Rattus norvegicus: one gene and its partner. The protein of the gene in region 2 interacts with the protein of the main gene of each other region in a biochemical or structural test. Links are inferred from orthologs where the notes say so. Each region holds a gene or a part of one and is shown on either strand. Other genes may lie near its edges. The genes, in order: Itga2b and Rnf181.

Evidence for each region.
Region 1: the proteins of Rnf181 (region 2) and Itga2b form a complex in vitro, tested with the Homo sapiens proteins (2 studies listed by BioGRID). The link is inferred for Rattus norvegicus from reciprocal best matches to the Homo sapiens genes RNF181 and ITGA2B.

Annotation. Positions count from the first base shown.
Region 1 is NC_086028.1:87,922,935-87,927,278, forward strand, and holds the start of Itga2b (integrin alpha-IIb precursor), read right to left. Parts: upstream 2,900-4,344; 5' UTR 2,868-2,899; coding exon 2,680-2,867; intron 727-2,679; coding exon 605-726; intron 517-604; coding exon 419-516; intron 316-418; coding exon 153-315; intron 1-152. UniProt on the Homo sapiens protein: Integrin alpha-IIb/beta-3 is a receptor for fibronectin, fibrinogen, plasminogen, prothrombin, thrombospondin and vitronectin. It recognizes the sequence R-G-D in a wide array of ligands.
Region 2 is NC_086022.1:105,976,601-105,981,004, forward strand, and holds the start of Rnf181 (E3 ubiquitin-protein ligase RNF181), read right to left. Parts: upstream 2,901-4,404; 5' UTR 2,847-2,900; intron 1-2,846.

The DNA of each region.
Region 1 (4,344 bases), on a different chromosome or scaffold from region 2:
GGCAGGCGGAACTATGCGGGGCGGGGAGAGCATAGAGGAGGGGCCGAGGGGGCGTGGTATAGAGGAGGGCGTGGCTCCCAGGACGCGAGGTTTGGTGGTGGGCGGGGCTTGCAGCGACTAGTGGGCGGAGCCAATGGCGGACCAGCGCTTACTAAAACCCTGTGAGTAAACGGAGCTCATGGTGTTGGAGCGACAGGGCGAGTATTCTGCGCGGCCCCCGCTTTGGAGCTCAGCCACGAAGCAGCCTCCTACCGGAGTCTTCTCTGCCTCATCGTACTTTTCTAGGACATTCCAGTGCTGCCAGGGGGCACAGGCCTAGAGCAGATCCACAGGAGAGTGGGGAAGGGAGCTTATTCGGGCTTCCCCCAACGTGTCCCTGCCCTGGACTTGCTCCCTTTGACCTGTCCACAGTGCCCACCACAATGACGTCATTCCAGCTGAGGACCGATGCCCCAAGTCCTTGCCCGGTCTTGAAGGTTTGGAAAGTTTGCAAGCTTAGTTTTCGCGTCTCATCCCCTGGAGGGCACAAGAAAAGGTGGCGCTCAGGAGCCCGGCCATCCATTTCCACCTGACTCCCCCTTTCCCCTCCATGGTTGAGACTCACTGAGGTCGAAAAGCAACGAGGTACATGTGCCGTTATTGGCCTTCCAGGGGCACAGGAACACACCTCCAGTCTCCTCTTGATTTGCGTTTAGGGCCCTGGGGGCGCCCACCACGATGGACACGCTGTTAGGAAAGCTGGGTGAGTAGATTATAGCATTTCTTTTTTTTTTTTTTTTTTTTTTTTTGGTTCTTTTTTTCGGAGCTGGGGACCGAACCCAGGGCCTTGCGCTTCCTAGGTAAGCACTCTAACCACTGAGCTAAATCCCCAGCCCCGATTATAGCATTTCTATCCTGCCCAGTGCCCACTACCCCAGCAGTACCTAGAAGGAGGTGTGGCATAGGAAAAAGTGGACCATCTTTCCTCACAGATAACCTATTGAGGCCGACCTCTTCACTTCAGCTGAAAGTGGACTCTTAGGAAATTAACTTGAGACTAAACCAGTTGGTTCGGTTTGGAAGGGAACGTTTTAATAATCCTTATTGAAAAGACCTCTTATACTTTGTACACTGATTTCCTGCCCCCTACTCCCTCCCAACAAGAACCAGACAAAATTTCTGCCTGTCAAACTTCTAGAGAGGACCTAGTGAGAACTGGTTGGAAGGGCGGAGGTTGGTGAGAGCGAACTGGGATGTGTGGTGCTGACAGGGTTGAGGATCCTAGCAGTCTCTGTTTAAACCAGGTCTGCCATAGGTAAAACGGAGGTAATAGCAACCAATTATGCTGTTGGAAGAGTTAATACAATAAACGGATGAGAGGTATTTAGTATGCCCCAGCAACATGCTTTTGTAAGAGTGTGCATGTTAATAAACACACAGGATGCTTATTAAATTGTGTCCCCGTGGGGTTGGGGATTTAGCTCAGCGGTAGAGCGCTTGCCTAGCAAGCGCAAGGCCCTGGGTTCGGTCCCCAGCTCCGGAAAAAAAAAATTGTGTCCGCGTGATCAGACCTTCAGGGAAGAAACAGGAGACAGAGGAAGAAACGACAGGAGTTGTATTGAAACACTCAGGAGCTCTGAAGCCAGGAGGATTTTCTTTGGTTGGCTTTGTTTATTTGTTTTGAGACAGGCGCTCTCTCTCTCTCTCTCTCTCTCTCTCTCTCTCTCTCTCTCTCTCTCTTTGTGTGTGTGTGTGTGTGTGTGTGTGTGTGTGTGTGTGTGTGTGTAGCTCTGGCTGTCCTGGAACTCACTATTTAGACTAGCAGGCTGACCTCGAACTCACAGGGCACTGCCTACCTCTGTTTCCATTAAAGGAGATGAAAGGTGTTTGGCATGGCACCATGCTCAGGAGTTCTATTTATTCATTCCGACAGAATCTTGTTATGTGGCCCTGGCTATTTAACTTGTGGTAGTTCTCCTGCCTCAGCTTCCAAGTACTGGGTTTACTAGCATGTGCTACCACGGTCAGCTAGAGAAGCACCCTTTATAATCATCAGAACTGAGGCAACCCTAGGTTCCTTCCCCCTCATGGAGAGTCTCTGGATGCAAGTCATCTTGGGAAGGGGAACCTGATTTTTGATGAAGTGGCTCTCTCAGGCAGAAGAAATAATTTCTTGCTGCTGCCTTTGAGAATGGTCATTACTGTTCCCCAGACCTGGGCATTCCAGTGTCCATTTCAATAAGTCACTCAGGATAAACACAGCTACGTGGATAAGCCAGGACTCTAATCTTAGCAGTTTGACCTCAAAGCCTGATCCATACTGACTGTTAGTAATTTATTACTTCTTTTCAAACATCTGTAATTTGGAAGGAGATGAGGTGAGGAATGGAGGAAAGCAAGGTGTACCCGGTAGGCACTTGTAGCTTTGCCAGTCAGTCAATTTAGAGTGAGGGGAGGGAGGTAAAGCGAGTCACATCATTGACGCTTGGGGGAAAAGAAAAAGACATTTTTACCTTTGTTTGCTCAGTGCTCCCTGTTGCTATCCCTCCACAGTGCCCTCCCTGGAACCTGCGCCCCCGCCCCCAGCATTCCTGACAGGAGCACCACTCAAACAGACCCTAGAGTCAACCTTGCTCAACTAGGCGCTAAGAAGCCACAGGAGCACTGCTAAGGGGCAGACCTCTCTCCTTTAGTGCTCACCTCCCATGGCTGTCCTTATGAAAGTCCACTGAGAAGCCAAAGTGGCTGCCATTGGGGCCTGTATAGACAGAGAACTTCACAGAGTCCAGGTTCAAGGCCCAGGCAGGAGGAGCAGCACTTGGTCCCAGGAACAGTGGTGTCCACTGCAGAAGCCACAGGGTATTCCACGCACATGAAGCTCTGGCCATCTTCCTTCTCCCCAAATGTCCTAAGCAGGAATGGTCAAGCTCTTCCCCTTCCCTCAAGTCCCCACCACCGGAAGTTTCGGCTTATCAGACTGGAGCTCATGGCTTAGCAGCAGGCATGGCAGAGGGGAATAGCCTCTGGACCACACGGTCTCTAGGACTACTAGGAAAGGGAGGGTCTGTCCCGGGGATAGGTGCTGATGACCGGAAGTCATTGCTTCTCCCTTCTCTCCAGAAAAGCTCCTCTCCAAGTCCTGTAGTTTCAGTTTCTCAGCCACAGGCCCAGAAATCCCCTTTCTCCTCCTCTGTCACTGTGAAAGTCAGGCCACCATCTCTTTCCGCCCGGGAAAGTGTAAACATGAATTCACAGCTCTGTCTTACTTCACCACGGCCCACGGTTGTACTGTCCTTGTCTCCCCCATGTAGCTGACCACTGAACACTGTGACTTGGCTAGAGGGAGAGGAAGGGGTAAAGGAAGCTGCTCTCCCCTGATAAAACCCGAGGTTGTCATCATTTTGAGTAGGACATTTATCGGCTTCCTCCTCTGCAAGCCTTTGGCAGCCTCAGGCAGCCCCACTTGGCCATTGGTTTCCTCACATCTCCATCTTAACCAGGTCTTGGTGCGTTTACACTGGCACCTTCAATATTGGCAGTGAATGGCCGTGGCCTAAGTGGGATGAGATGACATCGTTCTGAGATTGTCTAGGAGAAAGCTCCTGAGTCCTCAGTCCTTGGCATATACACACACACAGGCACAGTACCTGATGACACTTTTTTACTGAATTGAGTACCTGAATCCTTTGAGAGCAAGGGTCCTTTCTGTTGTCCCGGGGCCTAGCTCACAGCCTGGCATGAGTTGCTGCTGAAAGGTTGACTGGTCTTCCTCAAGGGTGGAAGGAGCAAAGGGAGAGGGGTCAGATTCTCAGGGCCACAAAGGGGTGAGGGCCACAGAATCCCCTTCTATATGGGGGGGGGGGGAAGGGGAACAGAGCTCCATGCCCTGTTGGCCTTGCACGCCTTTTGCCCCAAAGCAAAGGGATGTAGGAATACAGCCACATATAGTCTGTATTTTTTTTTCTCCTTTTCTGCAGTGCTGGGATAGCCTCATCAACGCAGGACAAGTGCTCTATCACCCAGCCATGCCCCCCAAGCTCCACCCTTATTTCTGATTAACCACTGCCTTACCCCACTTTCCCGCCCTACCAACTTTGAACAACTCCCGACTCCTCCCTTCCTCTCACACAGCTGAAGATGTTGCCCCTCATTAAGCAAAAAGCTCCTTGGATTTGTTCAGGGCTTTCCTCACTGATGTGCCCCCAGTGCCAAGCTCATGACAGGCCTGCAGTCTTATACCAGCACCTGCTGACCCTCTGTCTCCCCGCTGTTCCCAGATGAGTGGTTCCTGCATCGCTGGTCTATTCTGTGTAGCCCAATATGAACTCACATGACATGAGTTGTTTTGCGTTACAATAAAAAAAA
Region 2 (4,404 bases):
GACCACTTGGGCTTTTAGGGAGACACTGCCTCTAACAAAAAAAAAAAGTAATAAACCCTGTATGTTTGTTATCTTTTTGTCATCTGGGAAGAAGGACCTTTAACTGAGACAATGCCTTCATTCCATTGGCCTAGTCATTTTCTTGATTAATGACTGATATGGAAGGGCCCAGCTCACTGTGGGCAGGGACACCCCAGGGGAGGTCCTGGGGTATAGAAGAAAGCAGGTTGAGAGAGCCAGTGAGAAGTGTTCTTCCATGGCCTCTGCTGCAGCTCCTGCCTTGTGTTCCTGCCATGACTTTCTGCCCTGACTTACCTTCATGATGGAGTACAATTATAAGATGAAATAAACCGGGTTGGGGATTTAGCTCAGTGGTAGAGTGCTTGCCTAGCAAGCGCAAGGCCCTGGGTTCGGTCCCCAGCTCCGAAAAAAAAAAAAAAAAAAAAAAAAAAAAAAAAAAAAAAGATGAAATAAACCCTTTCCTCCACACGTTGCTTTTGGTCATGGTGTTTTATCACACCAAACAGAAAGGAAAACTAGACAGACGTTAGTACCAGGACTGGAGTATTGTTGCAACAGACATGAACATATCATTCTTAGGAAGTTGGGGAGGATGTTGGAAATGAGCTGGGGAAGTTGTTCAAGGGCTTAGATCTTGCTGTCTTCAGGCACACCAGGAGAGGGTGTCTGATCCCATTACAGATGGGTGTGAGCCACCATGTGGTTGCTGGGAATTGAACTCAAGACCTCTGGAAGAGCAGTCAGTGCTCTTAACTGCCAAACCATCTCTTCAGCCCAAGTGCTTGGATCTTAATGAACTGTTGTGGGAACTTGTGGCTCTGGGCAGCTGAGGCTAAAGAATCAACCATGGTTGTGAAAAGGCCAGCACCATTAAAAAGTGAACCCTTAGCTCTCCTAGAACAACCCATGCTGGTTAGCTAGAGCTGAGAAATCAGCAGTGATTAAGAAGAGACAGGCATTAGTGAAGTGAAATTGGGAGTATTTCCTTGGAGTTAGCACATAAAAGCTATGTCCCCATGAGCGTGCAACTCATGGTGGCAGCCAAACTTGGGAATGTGGAAAGATCACCCAAATGGAGCTGGTTCTGAAGACTGAAGGAGTCTTGGAGAGTGGCTGAGGCTTAGATCCATGTGACAAGATCAGAGTCCCTGAAGGGAGGCCGAGAGGTCATTGGTTAAGATCATAGGTGGAGATCCCGTAGTATTGGAGATGCCAGGGCTTGGATGACTGCCCAGGGCGGCAGCAGCTGTGTACTGAAGTCAGCCTGAGCCTGAGAGATGAGCTATGTGGACTGTGGATTGCAGAACCCAAGTTTCACAGGCCCTTTGGAACCCAGGTGATTGTGGGTGGGTCCCAGACATCAAGCACTGGACTTTAGACGGTGTCAAATGTGGGTTCTGATTTAATCGTCATTATGTTTTCCTGGCTCTTCCCTCTAAGTATGAACTTATAAAGCCATGAGAAAGAAAGTATGTAACTTATTTTGATTTGGCAGTGAAAGACTTTGGATATTTTAAAGAGACTCAACATTTTATAATATTTTTAAAATATTAAAAGTTTTCTAAAGACCGTGAGACATTTAATCCTTATAAGGGGTTAAGCTCTGAACAATTCTCAGTCTCCTTTCTTGCTTTTCATGGTAACCCTCCCTCACCTAGCAAGCCCTACTTATTTTATACACTTGACATTGAATTTCCCTTGCCCTTCACACTTGTTTGAGCTGCAATGAAGTCACCCAAATAAGCCTAGTATAGGGGCACACACCTTTAATTCCAGCACTCAGGAAGGCAGAGACAGGCATGTCTCTGTGAGTTCAAGGCCAGCCTCGTCTATAGTGTGAGTTCCAGGACAGCCAGAGCTTCAGAGTGAGACAGTGTCTCACAAAAAGGGGACAGAGGGGCTGGAGAGATGGCTCAGTGGTTAAAAGCACCAACTGCTCTTCCAAAGACCCTTAGTTCAATTCCCAGCAACCACATGGTGGCTCACAACAATCTGTAATGAGGTCTGATGTCCTCTTCTGGTGTGTCTGAAGACAGTTACAGTGTACTCATATACATAAAATAAATTTTAAAAAGAAAGAAAGGAAGGAAGAAAGAGAGAAAGAGAGAAAGAAAGAGAGAAAGAAAGAAAGAGAGAAAGGAAGAAAGAAAGAAAGAAAAGTAACTCAAATACGTCTTGCAGGCCTTCTGTCTTTCTTAGCCCAATAAACAATTGTTTTATTTTTTAAGCAGTGCTTTTTTTTTAAATGTGTGTGTGTGTGTGTGTGTGTGTGTGTGTGTGTGTGCGTGCATGCATGCCAAAACACTCATCAACACTCATGTGAAGGTCAGAGGACAAGTTTGGAAATCAGTTCCCTCCTTCCACCATGTGGGTCCCAGGAATCAAACTCAGCTCATCAGGTGTGGTGTCCTAGGTAGGTTTCTCTTGGTGTGATAAACACTGTGCCCAAGGCAACTTGAGGGAGGAAAGGGCTCATTTCATCTTATGACTTCCAGGTCACAGTTCATCACTGAGGGAAGTCAGGGCAGGAACCTGTAGGAGGGAACAGAGGGCATAGAAAGCTTGCTTCTTTCCATGGATTACTCAGCTTGGTTTTTATATAACCTGGGATCACCTGTCCAGGGTGGCAACATCTATGGTAGGCCGGGCTCTTCCACATCAGTCATCAATCAAGACAACGCTACACTGATAGCCTACGGGATGATTTGATCAAGACATCTTCTCAATCCAAGTTCCCTCTTCCCAGATGACTCTAGCTTCTGTCAAATTGGCAACACACACATACAGAGCCCCAACCAGTAATCGTTAGCAACAAGCACCTTTACCTGCCAAACCATCGTGCCAGCCCATGAGTGATCCTTCCTATGACCTTGAAGGCATTGGCCTTGTCCTGTGTAACTTGGAACACTGGAATCCTTTAATTCTTTCCTTTATGACTCTGTTTATAGCACCATGGAAGCACTGAAGGCTTTTGGGTGTAATGTGGGGATATGTAACGTTCAACTAAGAATAAGACAAAGAAAAAAAAAAGAATAAGACAAAGATTAAGAAATTAGGAAGAAAGAAATGCCAGGCAAAAAGCCCTTCCCTTGTCATGTTTGTCTCATGTATATATGTGTACTCATGTACTCATATCCATGTATGTGTGTGCATCTATGTTTGGAGGCCAGAGATCCACCTCAGTTGTTGTTCACTCAGGAATTGTCTGTTTTCTCTTCTGTTCTCCACCCCACCCCTCGTTTTCTTTTCTTTTCTTTTTTTCTTTTCTTAAGACAGCTTCTCACTATGTAGCTGAGGCTAGCCTCAAACTCAGAGAAATCCACTTGCCTCTGCCTCCTAAGTTCTGGGATTCGTGGCATGCATCAGCATACCAGCCCACCTGTGACACCACAGGCTTTACTTCCAGCTCACTTTTTTGTTTGTTTGTTTTGTTTTGGAGACATCTCTTCTTGGACTAGAGCTCGCCTATGCTGGTGGCTAGTGACCCCAGGAAATCTGCCTCTCTCTGCCTTCCCAATTCTGGAAGTACCACACCAGAAGAAGAAGACCACCACATTGGGGGGTTTTGCTTGTTGATGTGTTTTTGAGAAAGGGTCACTACGTAGACCAGGCTAGCCTCAATCTAACAGAGATCTGCTTGTCTCCACTTTGCCAGTGCTTGAATCAAAAGTTATTGCTATCACATTGGTCCACACACCTGACTTTTAAAGATGGGATTAATGCCAGTCCTTGTGCTTACAAGGCAAACACTTCATGGGATTATCTCTCTGACATGTTTCTTGCTTTTTTTTTTTTTTTTTCTTTTTTTCGGAGTTGAGGACCGAACCCAGGGCCTTGCTCTTGTTAGGCAAGCGCTCTACCACTGAGCTAAATCCCCAACCCCGTTTCTTGCTTTTCTTAAATGTTTTACTTTATAGACCGTGTGTGTGTGTGTGTGTGTGTGTGTGTGTGTGTGTGTGTGTGTGTGTGTGTGTGTGTGTTAAGTGCAGGTGCCCATAGAGGATGATCTCCCTGAAGCTGGACTTACAGGTGGTTATGAAGTGCCTGACCTGAGAGATGGGAATTGAACTTGCAAACTTGGATCCTCCAAAGATCAATATGCCCTTTTTTTTTTAAACTTCATGTTTGTTTGTTTGCTGAACTTACTTTTGCTTTATGCTTGTTGGTGTTTTTTTTACCTGCATGTGTGGCTGTGTGAGGGTGTCAGATCCTTTGGAATTAGAGTTAAAAACAGCTGTGAGCTGCCATATGGGTGCCGGGAACTGAACCTGGGTCCACTAGAACAGCTGGTGCTCTTAATCTCTGGGCCAGTTCTTTAACCATTGTTTCTCTTTTGAGGCAGGGCCTCTCATCTTGCCCAGATGAGAGCTCCAAACTAACTGT